Styela clava: one gene and its partners. The protein of the gene in region 3 purifies or fractionates together with the protein of the main gene of each other region. This does not show direct contact. Links are inferred from orthologs where the notes say so. Each region holds a gene or a part of one and is shown on either strand. Other genes may lie near its edges.

What was found. The genes of interacting proteins can lie anywhere in the genome.
Region 1: the proteins of calnexin-like (region 3) and uncharacterized protein LOC120336655 purify together in Homo sapiens (affinity purification with mass spectrometry; 3 studies listed by BioGRID and IntAct, with this or other methods). This does not show direct contact. The link is inferred for Styela clava from reciprocal best matches to the Homo sapiens genes CANX and LRRC59.
Region 2: the proteins of calnexin-like (region 3) and lysosomal acid glucosylceramidase-like purify together in Homo sapiens (affinity purification with mass spectrometry; 3 studies listed by BioGRID and IntAct, with this or other methods). This does not show direct contact. The link is inferred for Styela clava from reciprocal best matches to the Homo sapiens genes CANX and GBA1.

The regions. Positions count from the first base shown.
Region 1 is NC_135251.1:14,800,922-14,808,743, forward strand, and holds uncharacterized protein LOC120336655, read right to left. Parts: upstream 3,002-7,822; 5' UTR 2,866-3,001; coding exon 1,888-2,865; 3' UTR 16-1,887; downstream 1-15.
Region 2 is NC_135255.1:13,705,527-13,713,146, forward strand, and holds the start of lysosomal acid glucosylceramidase-like, read left to right. Parts: upstream 1-4,619; 5' UTR 4,620-4,670; coding exon 4,671-4,770; intron 4,771-5,267; coding exon 5,268-5,468; intron 5,469-5,928; coding exon 5,929-6,072; intron 6,073-6,291; coding exon 6,292-6,425; intron 6,426-6,505; coding exon 6,506-6,678; intron 6,679-7,007; coding exon 7,008-7,155; intron 7,156-7,245; coding exon 7,246-7,388; intron 7,389-7,620. Other genes in the region: beta-1,3-glucan-binding protein-like, read left to right, coding at 1,020-1,124, 1,994-2,052, 2,309-2,426, 2,898-3,114, 3,222-3,361, 3,848-3,929. UniProt on the Homo sapiens protein: Glucosylceramidase that catalyzes, within the lysosomal compartment, the hydrolysis of glucosylceramides/GlcCers (such as beta-D-glucosyl-(1<->1')-N-acylsphing-4-enine) into free ceramides (such as N-acylsphing-4-enine) and glucose.
Region 3 is NC_135250.1:5,736,556-5,743,528, forward strand, and holds the start of calnexin-like, read left to right. Parts: upstream 1-3,967; 5' UTR 3,968-4,034; coding exon 4,035-4,163; intron 4,164-4,429; coding exon 4,430-4,509; intron 4,510-5,232; coding exon 5,233-5,367; intron 5,368-6,271; coding exon 6,272-6,419; intron 6,420-6,506; coding exon 6,507-6,575; intron 6,576-6,973. Other genes in the region: peptidyl-prolyl cis-trans isomerase FKBP9-like, read left to right, coding at 47-192, 700-866, 1,327-1,524. UniProt on the Homo sapiens protein: Calcium-binding protein that interacts with newly synthesized monoglucosylated glycoproteins in the endoplasmic reticulum. It may act in assisting protein assembly and/or in the retention within the ER of unassembled protein subunits.

The sequences.
Region 1 (7,822 bases), on a different chromosome or scaffold from region 3:
AGATGTTGATACAAATTCTGATAACAAGTAATAAATTTATCACATATCACGGAACTAGTATAAACTTATGCAGGTTAATGATCCTACAATTAGACCAGGTTACAATGAAAAGAAAGACTGAAGCTCAATAGAAAGACAAAACTATCGTGGATGACAATTTAGGCAGTTTTATTCGAGTAGAATAAAAAACAAAAAAATATTTTTATTTTCTTCATGTACACGAAAATTTGGTGGCACTGGGAAGAGACAAAATTTGTTTCTTTTTTGTGGTATCGAATAGCACCAGCTTTTGGCAATGAAAAAAAAAGATTTAATTTTTAATTGCACTAGTCAAATACACATGTCATATGATACGGATTAGTAAAAATTCATTATATTATATCATTGATTGGGAGCATGGCCACACACAATTACCAATAATATACCCTATAAAGCATTACACTTTGAAATAACCAATATAACCTGGCCCAACATAGCAACATTAAAATATAGATATACTTCTGGATCTCTATATACTAATTAAGCTCACCATAATAACAAATATCATGAAATAACATCAAAAATAAGCACTAATTGAACTTGCAAGCAATTTGAACTAAAGCAGTGGCTGTCAAATTAGAAATCAATGGAATAGACATAATTGCACTAAAATAACCAAATATAAGATTAAAGACAAACACAATGCAAATATTTATACTAACATGCAAAAAATGATATGTCCGAATAATGGGGATGAATCGAGTTTTATATCATAACTGGTAGATATTATGACCTAAATACACCGCAACAGCGAGTCAATATAAATAATCTCTATATGAATGTGATTTAGTATTATATTACCAAATTATTTGTATGTGAAAAACCTTGTTTAGACAGATTCTGAAATATTAGAATTTCAATAAAATTTAACAATTGCTCATTGAGTTTAAATAATAAACAACTGTTTTGTTGATATTGGGTTCAAAAAATAAAAATCGAACACAAAATTGCCTAATCACAAGTACAGTTAGCAAATATAATACACATTATCGTTTCATACTTCCACAATATAATGAATAAAAGACAATAGGAAGTTCAATCTTGATATTTTTGTTCTAATGTGAAATGCCTAGTGTGATTTACAGTTAAAACCAGTACTGTGCAGTTTGTGCCATTCCGATTTTGTCATGTTTTCAAACTCCCAGAAGTAGGAACCAAAATAGAAATTTCAGGCTTCTGATAGCAGTAATCTAGTTTCCAACAAAAACTAGAAGAGCAATTGGTTGACTAAACATTCTGTGCAGCAGGAGTCTGGAGTAGTTCTCGAAGTAAATTCCAACTTTCACATCCTATTCAGAACATGCAATAAAGCCCTAATAACAATGGTTTTGCTTGGAACAAATGTAATGCAAAACAATAAAGCACCTCAAACTATGAAACAACATACCAACGCTATACTTACACCACCACCACATTAATTCATAAAAAGATACTATTCACTTTCAGTGCGCTGAATTAATACAAAGTTTTGACAATAAAGACGACCAAACTAGCAATAGGTTATAAACTTTACTAGGCTACTACATGTTGTTTTGTTGGTAAAGTATAAAAAACGACACACAAAACCTAACCAGAAGATAAAGAAAGTAATTTGGCACTGCTGCAGAGATATGACAGGTTTCAACATATAAAATATATATATATATTTATGTAGGCTATATATATGGATATGCCTAATGAATATATAATTTATAATAAATTACATTTTTTTGCAATTCTGAACTCTTCAAGCACTATCCATTAAAGAATTTGCCATCAAATATTTGACGATTTGCTATTTTTAATAACAATAAATCTTCTAGAGATAGATGGATCAAAGCATGCCCATGATAGCACGCTTACGTAAGATCAGTACCCTAGATTTTTTGCAACTCCTGACAACTTTGCTAAACCAAAATTGACAATTTGTTTGGCATTTTGTACGAATGCACCCAGATGTTCCCTTGTTGCCTCTTTATAATTATTTGTCCAATCTCGTACCAATATGCATTCCTCATTTGCTTCATTTTCTTGGCAATATAAACGAATTCCTATTGCAGAGGCAAACACAGCTAAAATGGACATCAGAAGAACTCCCCAAAAACTAAGAAGCCAAGATTTTGACTTGCTAAGATCTTTTTTTCTATCATCAGAAGAATCTCTTTCACTTTCACTGCTGCTTTCATCTGTCCTCTTGCGCTTTTTTGTTTCTATTTCTTTTACTCTCTGTATTTCTTCCCACCTTTTCCGCCTTGCTTCTTTTTCAACCTTCTTCGCTTTTTTTCGTTCAATGTTCTTTTTCCTTTCTTCTTCCTCTTCTGCTTGTTTTATCAATGCTTGTTTTTCACGATCCCTCTTCAATACTTCTTGTCTTTTTCTTTCCATGTCGGACGACAGAACTTTGAAATGAGCGATGACTTGAGTCGCACACTTTTTACATTCTTTATCATCCAAACAACCGCCGACAATCTTTACTAAAACGGGATCAAGAGGATTGTCTTTCAGATCAAGATATTTCAATGTTTTCATTCTGGAGATATCAACAGGAAGCGTCGTCAATTTATTATCGTACAAATCCAAATGCTGAAGGGCAGAGAGTTTGTAAATGTCATGAGGTAATTCTTCAAGTAGATTTTTGCTCAAGTCAAGTTTTATTAAATAATGCAAAGTTGAACAAAAATTTTCAGGTAGTCTGATGATTTGATTGCAGGATAAATCAACTGATGTCGCTTTAGCAATTGACAAGATTTCTTTCACAGGAACTTTTGTTATCTGCATTAGACTGAGATCCATCTCATTTCCCTCTACTTTATCTCGGATTTCTTTTAATGAGATCCCGCTCGACATTGTGATCTTCTAACTTGCGAATGAAATGAAAAGTTGATTGAAAAACTAAATACAAGCTAAATTTCCTATATTTTATCTGCTGCAACTACCACGCCAATCAGATACGTTATCGCAATCTATTAAAAACAAACATAACATTAAAAATGAATAACGATAATACAGTAATAAGTCCAATCAATCAATTATTATTTTATTTTGGTTGCTCTGGTATAAAACAAAACAACACTGAACGCAAAAGATAAATTTATTTCAAAAACTCCACTAATTACACAAATTAAAAATGGAAAATTTTGGAGGGGAAGCAAAACCTTAAAAAAAACGTAAGAGTAAGTGGCTGTCCACCAAAACAGTTGAAGCACACTACAAAATCGGGCAATAACTATGAAATCAATCTAAGATTTGAAAACGCTGATCAGAAGACGAACAAGGCAAATTTTTACAAACTATAAAAATTTTGTGGCAGCGGTTGTCATATATCAGTACCGTACATCCGGTCTTACTACTTACTGAATACAGCGCGAAACACCACAAAGAGCGCAAAACAGAGGGAAACAGCGCAAAACAGTGGGGAAACAGCGCAAAACAGAGGGAAACAGTGTGAAGCAGAAAAATTTTTTGCAATGAGTTCAGGGCAACTTGTTTTGAGTTGGAGTACCACGGCAGCAAATTAAAAACACAAACCATCATATGTAGCCAGAAATGCTGTAATCGCAGGTCTGCCCCTGCTGGTGGCACATTTTGGGTACCATAATTTAGAACATTTTCCATATGGATATGGTTGGCTTTAGGGTTAGGGTTAGGTAAAAAGGGACCTCCAGAAGTATGTGCACCAAGATGGCGCACAACCTGAAAATAGTATGTGTGTGTGTGGCGGATTCAGGTTGTGCAACATATTGCTGCACATACTTCTGGAGCACCAAAAAGGTAGATAAAATTTCGCATGATGACCTATAATCCGGTACATAACTTTGTAAATATACCGGTACTACGGTACCGGAAATAGAGCCATAAAACCATGGCTGCATGGCGAGAGGCGCCGTGGTTCTTTCGTGGCAGGAGGTGGTAATGACTGCGTCTCCTGTTTTGCGCTGTTTCCCTCTGTTTTGCGCTGGCTTCCATCTGTTTTCCTCTGTTTCGCGCTGTATTCAGTAAGTAGTAAGACCCCCGTACATCACATGTCTGTATCAGTGTATGTGCAATATTTTTAATGGGGAAACATATTACATAAAATGTTTCACAATTTTTTTTGCCTCATAGCCTAGCCCACATAAAGACATACTTTTTTTGAATACGGTATCGATAAATTGAATACTAGTACCAAATTAATAAATCCTGAAATCTGTAAAGGAGCTCGAACAGTCCTATTTATTATCATTACCCAGTGCTGCAGTGTGAAACGCCACTAGTCTCAATAACAAATAGTAAGCTTATTAAAACTGCTCAGCTACGTCTGTACGTACACCTATGTCTGCATGTGAACATTCGGATCAGACACCACCACACTAGTCTACTTCTACTGCTGTACTACTTAACCATAGTACTACAATGTGACACGCGCCGCCAAATCAAAAGCGGCAAAACGAGACTGGCTGATATATAGGATTTGCATGGGTCACGTGACTTTGTTTACTGGACGGCAAAAAAACAAAAACGTCCAGCTGGCTCCTGTCAGTTCACTCAGTTGCAAGTCGAATTATGGACCTTTCTCCAAGAATCGACTTCCTTGTTTACTTCGTGACATTGGCCAATCAGCTAATTGCAAAAAGTGACGTAACAATGCTCCCTTTTCGCATCCGCTCAGACACTTTTCTCACTCAGACAGATTTTCAAGCGTGGTCGTAAACATTACCTCGTTTTCGCATTTTTGAACTCCATTCGTTAGTTTTCAGTTGTGTTTTGGAAACTTAAATGTAAATCAGATAATTCAATGGTCACCCTGTCTTCCTAGGAGTTTTAATTTAATTGTCGTAATGAAAATTAGTGTAGAAATAGCTGTGATAGACTAGGCTAAAATTCTTTAACAGTACTGTTAAAAAACAGATTGTTGTATGCGATGAATCATAATGATGGTTCGAAACACATACCCTCATTTCACGGGCGCCAACTCGCAAAAGCACTCTTAAAATAGCCCCGGAAATTTTGCAATGGTAAAGTATAGGAAGAATTTTTCGGGGTTCAAAGGTCGGGGAAAGATCCATTGGTTTCCGTTTTGTTTGGCTGTTGAAATGGTTATTTCGTATTGTTCCGTTGGCTGTCAGTATAGTATAGATAGACAACAAAATGGATCTTCAGTTATATTCCACTGTTTCCAAAAGATCCGGAACGTCGCGCAATGTGGATATCATCTATTGGCAGGACTGCTTGGTGTCAAGTCCAAAAGTCATCTCGCTTGTGTTTCACTGTTTGCGAACAGCAATTCGTTGACGGGTAGTGATAATGTGCCGTTAACAATTTCTTTTAATATTCATAAGCTCTCTCATTTCAATGGAAAGCAGATGACAAACTACTGTTATTGGTAGGCCTACTTGCAGACTTGATTTGTGTAAGGAATTAATCATCAATTGCCATAAGGTATTGTTTCCCTGGTTAGCAGGTAATCTATTACTAAGTGAGAAAAGTTGACTAGATAACTAAAGTTTAACGCCAGTGGTCCGCATCTCTGATCACCCTGGTAGTTCCACAGGTTCCAAACCCATGCGGGGATAGTTATGTGCGAGAGGATTGCAGCTCTCTTTCCACTGAGGGTGGTTCACACGACCGCTGGTCGGTTACTACATCCCCCACCATTAAGTCCATGCTTCTGAAAACAAATAACTGGCTAACTAATCCCGACATAGAATGGCATAGCACTGGCGGTAAACTTTAGTTATCTATTCAACTTTTCACACTTACTAATAGATTACCTGCTAACTAGGGAAACAATACCTTATGGCAATTGATGATTAATTCCTTACACAAGTCAAACCTGCAAGTAGACAAGCAAGTAGGCCTACGCCTAGTCTACCAATAACAGTAGTTTGTTATCCGCTTTCCATTGAAATGAGGGAGCTTAGGAATATTTAAAGAAATTGATAACGGCACATTATCACTCACCATCTACGAAGTGCTGTCCGCAAACAGTGAAACACAAGCGAGATGACTTCTGGACTTGACACCAAGCAGTCTTGCCAATAGATGATATCCACATTGCGCGACGTTCCGAATCTTTTGAAAACAGTGGAATATAACTGAAAACAAAATCACGTGACCCGTGCAAGTCCTCTATACTGGTAGTCACTCGGAGTTTGGGATGATATAAAGAGCAGGCCGCTCTTGCCGGTATCGGCCAAGGGAGATGAAGTGAATCAATGGATAACAATAATTTTGCTAAATTATTGGACACGTTAGTGGACATAACATAATCATAGTCAAGTTTATTTTTTCCATCCAGTAAAAATGATAACCATGCAAAATTAAGACGAACAAATAATAGTAAATACACATTTCACTAGGGAAGGGAAGCCGCGGGGAACCAAAGCTGGTTATTAAGCAGCGATACCCAAGGTTCAAATATCCAAATAAACATTAGTCAAGTTTTAGCAACTTGATAAACATGCAAAATTATGACGAATAATATTAAATACACATTTCACTGGGGAGGGGAAGCTGCGGAGAACCAAAGCTGGTTATCAAGCAGCGACACCCAAGGTTCAAATATAAACATTAGCCAAGTTTTAGCAACTTGATTGTTGGAGAACTGTTATTGTTGATAAGCAACGATAACGATCGTTTTGCATTTTATGCTGGCACTCTTCTTCTTCTTCTTGTTTATATTCTTCTTGGTATCGTTATGAAAAATATCGCCTTTCTCTTCAATTACCGGACCAATTGCTTTGAAATTTTCATTGATTAAGATTCAATTTTTTTCTAGAAGGCTATTACTTTTATTCATTTCAAATATTCCCGTGAGCTGCATGGAATTCGTTTTTTTGTGTGCTGGACGTCATCAAAATTGGCCACTATGTGGCGCCACGTGTCCATATATTTGAGCATAGCTCTCTTGTTCTTCTGTGTGGTCATTTGGTACTGTTCTCAGATATGAAAGGAGACTTTCAAACTTTCCTTGGCTCCTACAGGACTTAATATTCCAAGCCCAGACTTGCTATGTGTAGAATACGCCACAATGCAATAGAAATACAATGAAGCAATGTCTTAACCTAAATATATGAACACGAAGACCAAAACCATTTTTCAAATAACAAATTTTATGAAACAGGCCGAGCCGAAAAATGTCGATAAACAATGCCCAAATATTATTGAAGGAAAACAGATTGTTGATTAGAAGGTTGAAAGTCAACAAAAATACTTTGATGGGTTATTCGCAGATACAAAAATAAAAAATTGGTATCACCAACGACTTTGAAAACAATTCATTTGCGAGGGGATAACTTGCGCATAGAAAAGAATGGAAGAAGAATAGAATTCAAAAACAAGTATGAGAATGCTCACCAATATACAATAAAACGTCATAATTGTACAGAATGTAAACAGAATTTGTTGCAACTGATAAGTTCTTTATGTTATTGGTAAAAGCAAACTGCAGGGTTAAATTGTGAGATCGAAGACTAAATGATTAGAAAAAGTTGAAGGGCCACCAAAATACTTCCTGAATTCAGAAACATAAAGGGACAAATTGAAACAATTCAAACCTTCGAAAACACAAAATGGAAGAATTGCTGCAGATTTAAAGGATAAAAGAGCAAAAGCCTTTTTCAATGTAAAGGGAGATGTAAAATTATACTCATCCAATAAATTTGTTATATAATTTAGATTTTAGAACATTTAATTTGGAGTTGAATAAGACAATTTTAGATCAAGAAAGATCTGTAGAATAAATAATTGTGGCTTTCAAATTCACGACGCTGGATGAAGCCCCAGGTCTAGATAGACTCACAAAAATGTTTTTAAACTTTGCGTG
Region 2 (7,620 bases), on a different chromosome or scaffold from region 3:
TTGGCACTATGTACTGACATGTAGAGATTTCAGTGCGGAAATCTTTTATTGGAAGCGGATTACAAGAGTTGTACTCTATTGTAAAAAAAGCCATGAATTGACAATAATTAATAGGTACCGAGATCTAAATCTAAAAACAGTGTTTCTTCACGCCTATGCACTTATTTCAGTATTCAAGTACATTTTAATTTGCGTTCAAACTATCATGTCATAACCAAAATGACTTAATAATATTAAAAAACTAACAACAACCAACTACTAAACCTTGGTTTAACCTCGCAGGTGACAATTTAGCAGCTAGTCTACTGGCTTAGAAGTCAAATGGGGTTTAAAAATTTTACTTATCAAAATGTCGAAACTAATTGCCAAGGGCTACAGGAAACAACCCAGATTTTTTTGATGGCTGGATTTGAGAATAACCGAGTAATTAAATACTAATATCTAAATAAATACTTATATAAACGGTATTCCGAACTAAAAATACTCAATTACTGAACATATGAAAACCTTCACGCCAGTGAATCAAGAAAACACAGCCTGAGCACTTAAAATTTTATTCCCCCAAATGCATGATGTGCCAAATTTGTCACACGCATTACCACCTAAATATTTCGAAATGCTGAAGAAATAGTTAAAAACTGCTAAGCTAGGCCTCTTCCTTGCTAATACCCCCACTATTACGAATTATCTCCTATTATCTCCTCCGTTTATTGCACAATAGAGAGAATGCGTTCCAGATGCAAAGAATCTACGTTACTCAATAGCATAACCAAGTGGACCAATATAAAAAACAACACGTGACCCAAAAGAGATGTTTTGAATTTGACCCGCCATGCATTAAAGCGCTAATAATATGCGGGAGTATTGACACGGAATAATAGCGTGTTAAATTAGTCAAATTCATTTGTTCTCATATATGGGCGCGATTGATATGTGCATTTTTTTACTCAAAATGTCATTTTACTTGCAATCGCACGAATCTTATATATTCAGTAGCGTAATAGACATTTCATATTCAGAATACGTTCTGTGAATTCATTTGCGATCCAATACGGACGAATTGAAGTTGTGGCTAAGATGCCTAGTGGGGACTGGTTGTGGCCTGCGATATGGATGTTACCCAGGTGAGAATTTAAAACATTTATATATGTTATTTTAACACTTGAGGAGAGTGCTCGTGTTTGAACTTTGAACTTTTTGAAAGTCTTTATATCTACTTCGACAACCATTACAAAATCGATGGTCATATGAGCATGCTTGAGACGTATGCCTGTAGACGCTCAATGCGAGACTGAGATGGGTTTTAAAATATGACCCAAGTATCAACGTCACACTGGCAGATATTAGAAATCTTGAATTTGTCACCAAAGGTGCATCAACTTTGGATTTGGAGCTGGAGCAGTAATGGCTCAGGATTTGGTGCTGTAGTAATTTTTTTCCCCCACTTCACAGTCTCGATGGAAAATATGGAGGTTAAACTATGAATATATATAATTGTATATCCTCAATTTTTGAGGACTACTGGCATGATAAGTAGAAAATCAAAATTCACACTTCAATTTGAAATGAAATTTTCCAATTGACGTTGGCCCTATATATTCGCGTAGTTATTGACTGTTTTTCATAAAGTTCAACCTTGTATGAATAATGCAATTACCTAACCACTCACGTTTTCATTGCCAAAAGTCAATAGGCATGCAATTCAACGTTGAAATGTTTTATCTATATCCACACTAATCTAAGTCTAAATAAATAAATACAAGAGAGTTATGAATACATAAAAACAAATACCCTCTATATCGGTGCATAAATTGCGGACCATAATTAAAAAACATTCTAGAACTCAAGAAAGGTTTTCTAAATAGAAATATAGTAAAGTAACACACAATATCATTATGTAATTTTAATAAACCCTATAACGAGTTAACCAAATTAAAAATGAGGCCTGTTGCTTTGGAACGACCTGATGTCAAATTTGAATTTACTTTAACAGAGACAATAGGTACGGAGGATGGCCAGCATCTGGAGAGATAGACATTATAGAATCAAGAGGTGAGTGAGTCCAAGCTTTTACGTTATAATCCCAAATACGTTTTTCAATTTATTCGATTGCCATCTCACTATTTTGATATTATTGTTCGTTAATATTTAGTCATTCAAACAGGGGTTGCATTTTCTCTTACTTGGAAATACACGTCACATGATAATCCGAATGAAAGATACATATCATGAGGTACATAACGGGCGTTCATTTCACACTTATGTTACACTAATGATTCTAATTTTGTCATCATTCTTTGTTTTTTAGGAAATATAAATCTCACAGATGCTGAAGGCGTTTCTAAAGGTCGTGACAATATGGGTATGACTCTACATTGGGGACCTTACTTTCCACTGAACGGATATCCAAAGACAACAATCGAAAGGTCTGTCATAAGCAGGAATATAAATTTTCGATAATGATTCGGTTTCTGTGGGACTAACTACTCATCCTTCTAAACGAAACGTTACAGAAATATATTTTAGCGTGCAGCAAGACTCTTGAATCACTTAGAATAAATTTTCGATTTATCGTTCTTTATTAGACGAAATCCTAATCTATAGACACACAGTTTAAGCATTCCACATTAGCTTCTTTCTTCTTTTCGTACTCAATGGCGTCCAATAATTTAATTAATGTTCGAAATTCGAATCTGGTTGCGTTATAAATTTGCACCTAAATTATACATCAAAGAGCTTACAGAGTTTAATTGAATCTTCTCATCTTCGTGATATTTTATTCCAAGTTTTCTTAACGTTATGTAAAGACGAGCAAAATTAAAAAATATAGAGAAAATATGAGCTGAATCATTAATTCCATTTCATTTATATACTACAATAATATATATCTGGCACAGTCATCCGGCTTCGGGAACGTACGCATCGGCCTTTCACACATGGGTTGTTGATTGGACAGCAGAATATATAGATTTGTTTGTGGATGGTAAATTGCTGCGAAGAGTTGATCCGGGACCTGGAGGATTTTTCGATTATGGTGAATTTGAAAAAGAAGCACCGGGTATCGATAATCCATGGGCGAATTCTAACAACAAAATGACACCATTTGATCAAGAAGTAAGTTTTGGAAGTAATTTAACATGATAATAAAACATTCAGTTATTGCTCGTTTGTTTAGATTGTTTAATTATGGTTTATTCAGTATTTTCAACAATTATTTCTAGTTCTATATTCTCATAAATGTGGCTGTCGGCGGCACCAATGGATTTTTCCCAGATTCTTGGATAAATGCACCTCGCGAAAAGCCATGGAAAAATGATTCACCAACGGCAATGAAAGATTTTTGGTTGAAAAAAGACGAATGGTGAGTAATTAAGTCATTCCCAATAATACCAAAATGTTGAAGAGCCTCAATGAATGTAATTTTCCTACCCGGAAACAATGAAGCGTGGGAGTATTCAGTTGTTAGTTATTAATTAATAAAAAAAAACAGAGATGTAGAAAAGTTAGAAAGAAGTGAGTTAAATAGATATGAAACAGCGATAGTTCGCGGGACCAATTCCTCTACGCGAATGTCATCGAAAAAGTCAGAGACAATTGAGATAAAAAAGAAATTTTTCGGAATCTATCTTTAGGTCTCAAATGCACAATATTTTTTCTGGTTTCCCGTATAGTGAATATCGAGAATTCCAATATTTTTGGCTCATCGTGATCGTGACGAGTATATATATAAGTGTAGTAATTGTCAAAAGCTTGATGTTTAGTAAAAACTAAAAAAAAAATTAATTTGTCTATTAAAGTTAAATCAAAATGTATCGCCCCTATTAAATTTGTTTTTCTTTTACTATAGGTATCCATCATGGCAGCCAGACGTTGACAATGGTGAGAACGCTGCTATGCAAGTCAGAAGTATTAAAGTTTGGGCTAAATAAATATGAAGTCGCTCCACCAGATAATTCATTTGTAAGTAATAATTGATGTAAATGTCAACAACAACACACTAGTCGGGGATCGAAGACTACGCTGTTTCGGACGTCTCAACTTCATTTCACTGTAATCTTGGAAATCAACAAATGTTGTTGTAAATTACCTCAGAAACTTTTTCCCGATTATACATATTTACAAATGTATATAAATGGTAATAAATTATAAGTAAATACAGCATTCAATTTTTTTTCATATTTTTGTTGTTAAAAGTTTCCAGTGCAGCATTACAATTAGTCTTAATGATTTCTGGATATTTGATATCTGGATTTCTGATATCCAATAAAAGAATCAGTCAACTAGAAAACTTGAGAAGTTGTATTAGACACTGAAGCGAAAGGTACATAAAATGTCTATTTTAGAACCGTTGAAAATGTATGTACGGAGACTCGGGGAGTGCATTCTTATTCGTAAACCTTGTGTTGGGCTTCCATGATTCGTTAAGGCGGAAGTATATATATCATCATTCTATGAACAGTGTCAGTCAATAATCCTCATTTAGTCTATAATCAACCATGATGAAATAAATCAAACAATATTTAGTGGATAATTTCGATTAATAATTGACAGAAATTATGCAACTTATCCGTAATGTTTCATTACACATAGCGATAAAAATTAAAACATGATGAGTACGTGATAGGAAGACGATATTTTAGTGTGGAGTTCAACGATAATAGAAGCGAAGAATGAAGTCAGTCGTGGGATATAGCTTAATATTGAGCAGCATTGTGATTGCAGGAGTTGTTTCGTTGCTGCTTGTATTGTTGATGCCTTCATCTATTCCACGTATGTTATTTTGTATGGTAATTTTTTTGAATATTTGTGAAATAATGTTCGATACATATTTCGGTGGGGAAAGTCACGTAGGCTATTTATGACAAGTCATATCATTCGTTTTATCGGAAGCATATATATATTTTCTACAATAAGTCAAAGAAGAAATTTAAACCATGCCAACCCCAAATTTAGATGAATGTGGTTGGCGATAATCACCTGAAGCTCTCTTCATTGGCATCGCCAGCAATAGAATGAAAATAGCATTGAAGGTACACTGGAAGTAACCGTACACAAAAATTAATATTTTGGAATATTTATTTTTAAATGGGAAATTCACAAGCTGGAAACCCAATTTTTTCGATAATTTCCAACATTCCGAGAAATAGTTTAGAGGTTCAGTCTGAGCATCATAATGAAAGGTCTTAAAATCAAGAATAGCCCACGAGAGTGGCAATGTTATCTGCTTAAGTCATTGCTTACGCCGAATTGCCTTCGCTTGCTTTTAGAACAACGTCGAACATGTGAGCCGAAATATTTTGATCAAGATCGTATGGTTTGTGTATGTAACTCAACATATTGCGATACACTCGATCCGCTTCCAGATTCATATCCTGAAGGATATATAATTATTTATACATCGAGTCAGAGTGGACTTCGTTTCAACGAGACATCGAATCAATTTCGCTCTCTATCGCAAAGTGATGTAGGTAAGGAATTAAATATTATTTGAATTGTTCATTTCCTAACATAGTCTATATATATGAGAGATGCACACAAATGTGGACACAAGGTCAAATGACTTAACCAGGGATGTGCAACAAGCGACCCGCGGGCCACAACTGACCCGACAGGCCCTTTAGTGTAGCCCGTATGAACACCTAAATTTTTTCTCATCTAGCATAAAATCGTAATCCGACAGTTTATGTTAAGAACTGTTATTAACAAGCTATGCGAAAACTTGAAATTTCAATTGTTTCGCTAAAATGTTAAATAACTAAAATTTTGCATTGTGAGAATATTTCAATTCATTCAACAAGACCCCGAACAACAACAATTAATCAAGTGCTCTTTTCCAGCCGCAGAACATTCGGCGTTTGTGTTTTATGAAGAGTTTTATCCTGGTTTTATCCCTTTTTGTGTAAATATGTATGTTATTGTTTCATTCAGCTACAATAACAGTCAATTCTGGTAAACGGTTGCAGACAATTAAAGGCTTCGGCGGTGCATTCACGGATGCTGCTGGAATAAATATTGCAAGCTTACCTCAACAGGCTCAAGAGAATTTATTGAGGTCATATTTTTCACCAGAGGGTAAGTTTATTGATATTTATGTACACCATAGGCTACGATCCTTTTGTGTGGTTAGAATTCAAAAGCTCGCAAACAGTATATGTATATAAATCATTTTGAACGGTTTAAAAAACGTGTATTGCTTGTTGATTTCAATTATAAATGTCAGTTTTCATAATTTTATGTATTATCTCTTGGTATTATAACATTTCTGTAACAAGGTCACTTCAACTTTTCCAGGTATCGAATATAACATGGGTCGAATTCCTATAGCAAGTTGTGATTTTTCAACTCGAGGATACACGTACAATGATTTCGAGAATGATTTCGCCCTAACAAATTTTTCGTTAGCAAGTGAAGATTTTGTTTACAAAGTAATTTCATTTAAATAAGTTGATGTTAAATTTATAATCGACTGCTGTTGAAAATCTTTCGTTTCTTTACATCTTCGAAGATACCATACATAAAGAAGGCCGTGGCAATGAATAAAAGAAAGATGTCTTTTTATGCCAGCCCTTGGACAGCACCCGCTTGGATGAAAACAAACAATGACCTTATCGGAAAGGGAAGTTTGAAAGGGGAACCAGGTGGACCATACTATCACACTTGGGCTCTGTATTTTGCAAGGTATTGGGACCTCCTGAAGTATGCGCACCGAGATGGCGCACAACCTGAACTCAGGTTGTGTACCAGGTTAGGGTTCAGGTTGTGCGACATTTTAGTGCGCATACTTCAGGAGTACCAGGTATTGTTCATTTTAGTCAGTCGAGAATGGGGATAAGCTTACACTTCTTTCAAACTAATAGATCCTATTTATGAAAAACTAACATTTCGATCCACGTGTTTATTATTATATTTCAAGTGTACAGTAATTGAAATCGCTACAATAACTTCTTTCTGTAATTATGTAATAGATTCATCGAACACGTTCTGTCTTGATTTTATGTATTATATAGATTTATAGAAGAATATACAAAGAACGGTGTAGACATCTGGGGATTAACAGCGCAAAATGAACCAAGTGCTGGGAATATTCAGAATTTTCCATTTCAGTGCATGGGATTCAGTGATATTCAGCAGAGAGACTTCATAAAACTAGATTTGGTAATAAATTAGTTCGTATTCTTTTGTATACTGTTAATAAAACTATAAAAGAAAATACTGACATACAATTTCTCCCATTTTATTGAGTAGGGTCCAACACTAGAAAACCGAGGTCACGGCGACGTAACACTGATGATAATGGATGATCAAAGATTGTTGTTACCGGAATGGCCAAAGGTTGTCCTGAATGATTCAGTCGTGAACGACTATGTTGACGGAATAGCAATTCATTGGTAAACTTAGTTTATAAATATCTGTATTTAATAAATACAGTTTTATTTGAATTAAAAGAATTCTATCTTGATCGACCGATTTTCGGAAGAATAGACCTCGCAAACAATTTTTCGCGTTGTGGAAGCCACTTTATCTTGCGTGTTATAGGCAAGCTTGACTTATTTCGAAGCACGTGTTACTAATTACTAGTGACTTCACATTAGTTGTAGCTTGCAACTCTTTTAGTGATAT
Region 3 (6,973 bases):
CATTTGTCATGTTAGGTAATTATCTAATATAGTTTCTTATTTACAGTAAGAACAGAGAAGGGACTTGGGCAACGTACAACGGAAGAGGTCGAGTCATACTTGGTCTTCAAAATATGCTAACAGGAATGTGTGTAGGGGAGATCAGAAAAGGAGTTGTACCACCTCATCTCGGTTTTGGAGAACCTGGTGCAGGTAGAGTTATACAGCGGAGGTTTTGATTTCAAACATAAATCTCCCTGTTTTAAGTTTGTGAATATTGGATATAGGGTACTCCCGTAGTTTGTTAGGGTAGGCCATAATTTTATTCCGATTTTTCTTATTTTAGTTCTATTACGAGTTCGGGGAATATCTGTGTTAGCCAAATGAAAATACCCCCTGCCCATAGGCTTTCACATCTTTACACAGCGTGATGTAAAGTATGCGAACAAAATTAGTAACACAAACTTTTGGAGCGTCGAATAAAGACCCCTGCACATTGAGTCGAGGGTAATCTGAATCTCAAGTCGAGTCCAAATTTGAGTCAATTCCTCTGTTGTGTCTCACTGGTGGTTATTCGATATTGATTCCAAGTCATTCCATTGAGTGTTCAATAAATTGTGACTCTGGTCCTACTCAAGTCGAACTCGAGTCCCCCCAAATCTGTTTTTATTCATTAAATAATTTTGTTTTTCAATCTTTTATCAAATTTGTTTCATTCAGATGGTATACCTGGTAGTGCTGTTCTGGTATATACTGTGGAACTGCATAAAATTGAAGACTCTCTACCTAACGGAATGTTATTCATGTGGAAGGAAGGCAAATCTGAACCTGAGAATCTTTTCTCGTTGATTGATGATGATGCCAATGGAAAAGTTTCTATTGATGAGGTACACAATGAAAACATTTTATGTAACAATAAATATCATTTTTGATTTTTGAAGTTCAGTACTTACGTAATCTAGACACAATGCAATAGACTTAACTATGCTGACATCGCAGGTTTGAAATCTTGGGTTGAAATGCCATGCCCACCATCTCACCTGGGGGTGTAATAAGCCTGGTAATGCCGAACTGGAAAAATGTTCGTTTCACCAAAAACAGTAAATTTTACATATTAGTGGATGCTTGACATATTTGGGAGTGATGAAATGAAAATGTATTAAAAATCTTGGTTTACCAAAAAAGCATACAATACTCGCCGACAATTGTTGGGTAACTAAAATTCCCAATCTTTTTCGATTAGATATTGGATTTCGAACTCTGGGTATCAGTGCGCCATAGCCAGTTTTGGTTCTACACAACTTCCCTTTCTCCAGTAAAACTTATCTTTCGATATACTTCCTGCAGTTGATGTCATACATTGTTAAAGAAGTTGACGCTGGTAACGGCAAACTTCTTCCTGGTGCTGAGAAGGAAAAAACGATTGAAAATCTATTCAAGGTGATGGATAAAGATGAAGATGGTTTTCTACAAGAAAAAGAGCTGGAATTTCCGACTCCACAGTTTGAAGGCATCATAGGAGAGAAAGTTGATGATGAACTGTGACTTCTCAATATTTCTTCAATAGGAAATTTTTTATTTTTTTGAAGATAAAAATTCCACTGCCAACTATCAATCAAAACTATGAAATTTAATACATTTTCTGTAAAGGTGCTAGTGGGTATTACTATATAATCAAATACACAATTATAACAAGTGTAGGCATTTTTTAAATGATCAGTGTTGTTTAGTCGTAATTGGAATTTAGAGTTAAATTTCGTTGATGTCACTGCAAAAATCATTGAAAGTTGAAGTTATTCTTAAGTTGAAACTTTTTTAAAATTTTTTGGGGTTTGGTATAACACTATCTGTTAGTTTATTGTTGCCATATACTGATTTCACCTTAATCACTGCTCTGTTTATATTGTTTCAATATCAGCATATTGCCTATTAGGATCCATTCCAAATATTCTTTATCATGTTATAATTGTAGAACAAGTATGAAATTTTCATTTACGTATTGCAGTTTGCACAACTGAAGTCTTATTTGTAAGCAGTATTAACTTTTTTACTTTCGAATGTGCCAATAAATTCATCAATTTTGCAAACTTTTGATATTAATTTTGAGCTATCTTTGGGGTTATGAAGACCGATTACAGATTGCGATAGACGGTCCCTATCCATCATCCCCAACAGGTAAAAATAGAAATCTTATTCTATGAATTATCATATTTATAATGGGAAAACAAGTTCTCGACGTCTGATTTTTACATACATTTGTGTAATACGATGTTAACACTACTATTCATGTAGAAAAGTATGGTTTGTACCCAGAAATCTCAGTAAAATAGGGCGCTTTGCACGAGAGTTATATTTTCTGTAGCTTTTGTTCCAAATGACCGGAGTTCTGTTGTATCAAAATCAGGTTAGGCATTATCGCATTGAGTTTCATAATTTATATTCTACGTCACAGGGTGAGATTGCACATACCATTATTCTCACCTGATTCGAAATCATGGCGAATTTCCGCCGTATGTGATTGTTGCATTGTAAGTATTACCGTATTTTGTGCCACGGCTGAGTTAAATCCCTATCTATCGTAAACTTGTCGCCAGACACCGTACGCTCTGTTTCGCGTAGTTTTATTTAGTAATTCTTATCTGCGTGGAAGGGATTTAACAGCAGGTAGTCGTCAATGTGATTTATGTCAACATTTTAATGTCTTGAGCTAACAAATGGCGCAAGAATTACGCATACTATCCATGTCACGCCGTGTAAATTTAAATCGGACATCGACCACTCACAGATCACCACGCATCGAGGAATAAATTAAACAAACACTATCACGTGCTTGGTCTCGCATGAATAGTGAGGAAGCGTGTTTCGCGTGATAGGGATTTTCAATTCATATTGCCAGATATTACTGTATTACATAAGTATAAAATGATAGAATATACATTTTATTAGTTATTCACGACCATGTCATGAGCAGTAAACAAGTTTTAGGCCTGTATTTTATTTAACGTAATAGCTGGTCCCTGGTGAAATCATGGAATAAGTTGGAGAAACCCAACGACCAACAGCTAAATTCTACTACCGGTACTGCACTACTGAAATAAGAAAACTTTCGATTTTTGTTGAGCTACTGCTTTGGAATGAATTCACGGTTTAGGCTATGTACAACGCGATGGCATTATTTGGCCCATTTCTGTTAATCGATATTAGGGTAGATACTGAGATAGAGGTTCTAAAGAAGAGATGTTGGGATGTAAATTTTAAGTTCATTAATTTTGAATTTACCGTTTTGAATTACAGAATTAGATTACGGTAGTTGATCAATCGGTTGACAGGTTTAGGATAGGATTTAACTATTTATCCCGGGGATAGGAAAGCCGATAAGAAGGCTGGCGAACTCTTGTCCGGTTACCATTCCGGCATTCCACGTTGGGTATGCAGGTATGGGATTAGTTAGTTATTTGTTTTCGGAAGCATGGACTTGGAGCAATGGCATCTAGAACTTTAGAAGCAAGTGGAAACCCTGGCCTGCTAGCTGATTACCAAATTCTTTTCATTCCAGTAATAGAGTCTGAGAGCGTTGGTATGCATAGTCGTTTGATATCATTACATGAGCAGATGAAAGTGGGTACCACAGTGTTCATTTCAGCATTTATGCACCGTACTGGTAGGGGTATGATTTCTCAATTTTGCACTGGATCTGCCAATTAGAATTGATATTTATTTCCAAATCTCGCTCTTTTCTGCTTGGCTATTGTAATTCTGTAGTATAAGCAGAATTTGCTGCTCTGAAATGTACAAGAAATGATATATATAATTCTGTAATTCGCGATTTGAGAGTTTTTTAAATATTGAAATCATTCGGATAATTTTGTTAACCCCAATTCCCGAATTCAAAATTAAAACTGTAATTCTGTAATTGAATTATGTGAGCTATAGTAAAACTTTAGGGCTTCAACTATCAGATATTATTAATTTATTTACTGATTTTCTTTTTTATTTTGAAGTAATATTTAATAATATTTAGTAATTCCACATGAGTCAATAACCCAGGATTAAAAATGGTTGTCATTAAATTTGGATTAGTATTTCTTTTAATTTTGTTCTCTGGATTCGGCTTGAACATGGCCGAGGATGATGATGAGGCAGAAGTAGTTGTTGAAGAAGCAGTTGAAGAACCAGAATCCACAGTAAGATTCTTCATATTGTAGAATTTTAAGGGGTATTTCCTCAACCTTTGACCTCCAGAAATTCTTCCTATAGTAACTAGACTGCAATTTGCCCTTTTTATTGTTTTATTGTAATCCAAATTGTTATTTTTTATAATCTATAAATGCTTTGAATCTATGGACTGATGGATAATAATCGTAACAGCATTTTACAGCACCATCATATTAAAAGAATTCTTTATTTTGTTCTGTATATTATTCGTTAATACGAACTATTTTTGTTCCAGATAACAAAATATGAGAAACCGGTTCCCAAAGGCCACGTCAACTTTGCAGAACCTTTCGATAAAGCAGATTCTATTAATGGGTATGATAAATGCAGTAATTTCAATTTGAATATTTATTGAATGGTTGTTAATTAATTTTTATCTTGATTTTCATCCGTACTTAGCATAAGAAACATCGTAATTGTAATGCTAAATTAATTGCAATGGGTTGTGGAGGTCCCATCTTACTGTTATATAATCACAGTCTGGTTACAACTTCACTCTTATATGAGCCGAGTGCAAAGAACGCCTTGTTGTTGCTGCTGACTACGAAGCAGGGGTTGGCAATTACCAGTAGTGGAAGTTTGAATTAGGGCATATAAAATTGGTAACATAATATTCAACTCATGAAATACTTCTGTACTTATTGGCCATGCATGTATCATTGCGAATTCACGACACTGAACGTCATTTGGCAAAGGGAAGCAAGGGACATACAATACTGGAATTCAATGAATGGTGTTCTGCCATTAACAACCTTCGTATAGTTGTGTATTGAACCTTTGACCCGATGTTCAACTGTTACCAAGGGATTCCCACACCTAGACTTGTAACCAGATGAGAGGCACCTTTTCTTGCCTCCAGTTTTAGTATAAAAAATCTTATTCTAAATACTGGTTATTTATTGCCATTATGATATAACAAATAATTACTTTTAGTTTGTTTTTATGGCTTTTCATTTTCGTGCTTTGCTTGAGCTTCCAACAAAATTTGAATTTTTTTGTAATGCATATAATATTATTTTAATTTTTATTGTGTTTTAGTTGGAAAATTTCTGAAGCAAAAAAAGATGGTGTTGATGAAGAAATATCAAAATATAATGGTCGTTGGGAAGTTGTTCAACCCATTACACCACTGTTAGATGGCGATTTGGGATTAGTTTTGAAAGATAAAGCGAGGTTAGTATTTTGGTACTCTTGTAATAAGTGTACCAGGTTCGGGGACTGTTTGTGTTATCCAATTGAATATACCCCCTGCCCGTAGGCTTCCGTCCCTTTACATAACTTGATGTAAAGTAGGCGAACATAACTAGTTACTTCTATATTGGTAAGCATACTTCTGGAGCGCCATTATTTTTAGTGGCATTTCATTTGCAATGTCATTTTTGCATTCCTGTATATTTTTAAATTTTGAAGAGGAGTTACTGTTCCTGTCTCAATTCAATTTGAAACCCATCCGTTTTTAAACAGTTCGCAGTTGACATCTGACTTATGATATGGTTATTCTAATGCAATATCCTGAAATGACTCATTTGTCAGTCTATCTGTAACCGGTTTGGATCTAAACTGTATACATCAGCATTGTTTGTATATACGTTTGTGTTTGCTGTAATTACTGTTGGAATGCATCATTGTTCAGTATTGTATACAACACTTATTCGGGCTTTTCCCTCTGTACAAGGCCATGTAGGCATCCACTGATATTCAATGACATTTTTTTGAAAGTCTGAGATCTTTCTTGTTCCTTATTGTTTACTCAATTTATTATGCTGTTGTATAAAACAATAAAATATATATTAATAGGTGCTCCAAAAGTATATAAACCAATATGGAAGTAACTACTACTGATGTAAGTAACCTACTTTACATCAAGTTGTGTAAAGGGACTGAAACCTATGGGCTGGGGTTATATTCACTCGACTAACACAGACAGTCCCCGACTCGTAATAGAACTAAAATAGGAAAAATCAGTATCAAATTATGGCCTATCCCTAACTTGGTACACATACTACGTGAGTACCTTTTAATTTTTGTGATGCAACAGATCTTTATAAATTATAAATATAATATGTCTTTATTTTAGACATCATGCAATTTCTGTCGACCTGTCAAAGCCATATGAATTTGATGGAGAACCATTTGTCATGCAGTATGAAGTCAATTTCCAAAATGGAATCGAATGTGGTGGTGGCTATGTAAAACTCCTTTCAAAAACTGAAGATGTTACCTTAGTAAGTTTTTATCAATAAAACGTCAATTCTCTTTTCTATCAATATCGTAAAAGCATTTTCAACAAACCAACTATTTTACATTTTCAGAAAACTTTCAACGATAAAACACCGTACACAATTATGTTTGGGCCAGACAAATGCGGGGAAGATTATAAGGTAAATTTTCTTGTTGACGTAGTTCTGTTTTAAATTGAATATGGATTTGAATTCTAGATGTCTGTACAGAGAAATCGAACATTTTGGCAAAATGTGGAGTCGTGTAAAAATCACACTTTATTCCAAGCCATTCAACAATGGCATAGATTTTAGAGTTGGACTCTAGTCTTGAACTCCAAGAAAAGCAAATTTGTTTGAATAGAACTCTTAGTCAAATTGATGGTTTCAAAATCACAGGAGTCATAATTTTTGATTCTTTAGAATAGTGATGTGGAATTTCAGGTGTTGATAATTTAAGGAAAAATGTGCATACACAAAAGATTTTGGTAGCAAAATGAATATTTTCGAATTTCTGTCCATCCCATCCAAATGTCTGTATCTTAATGTCTGTCTAAGTC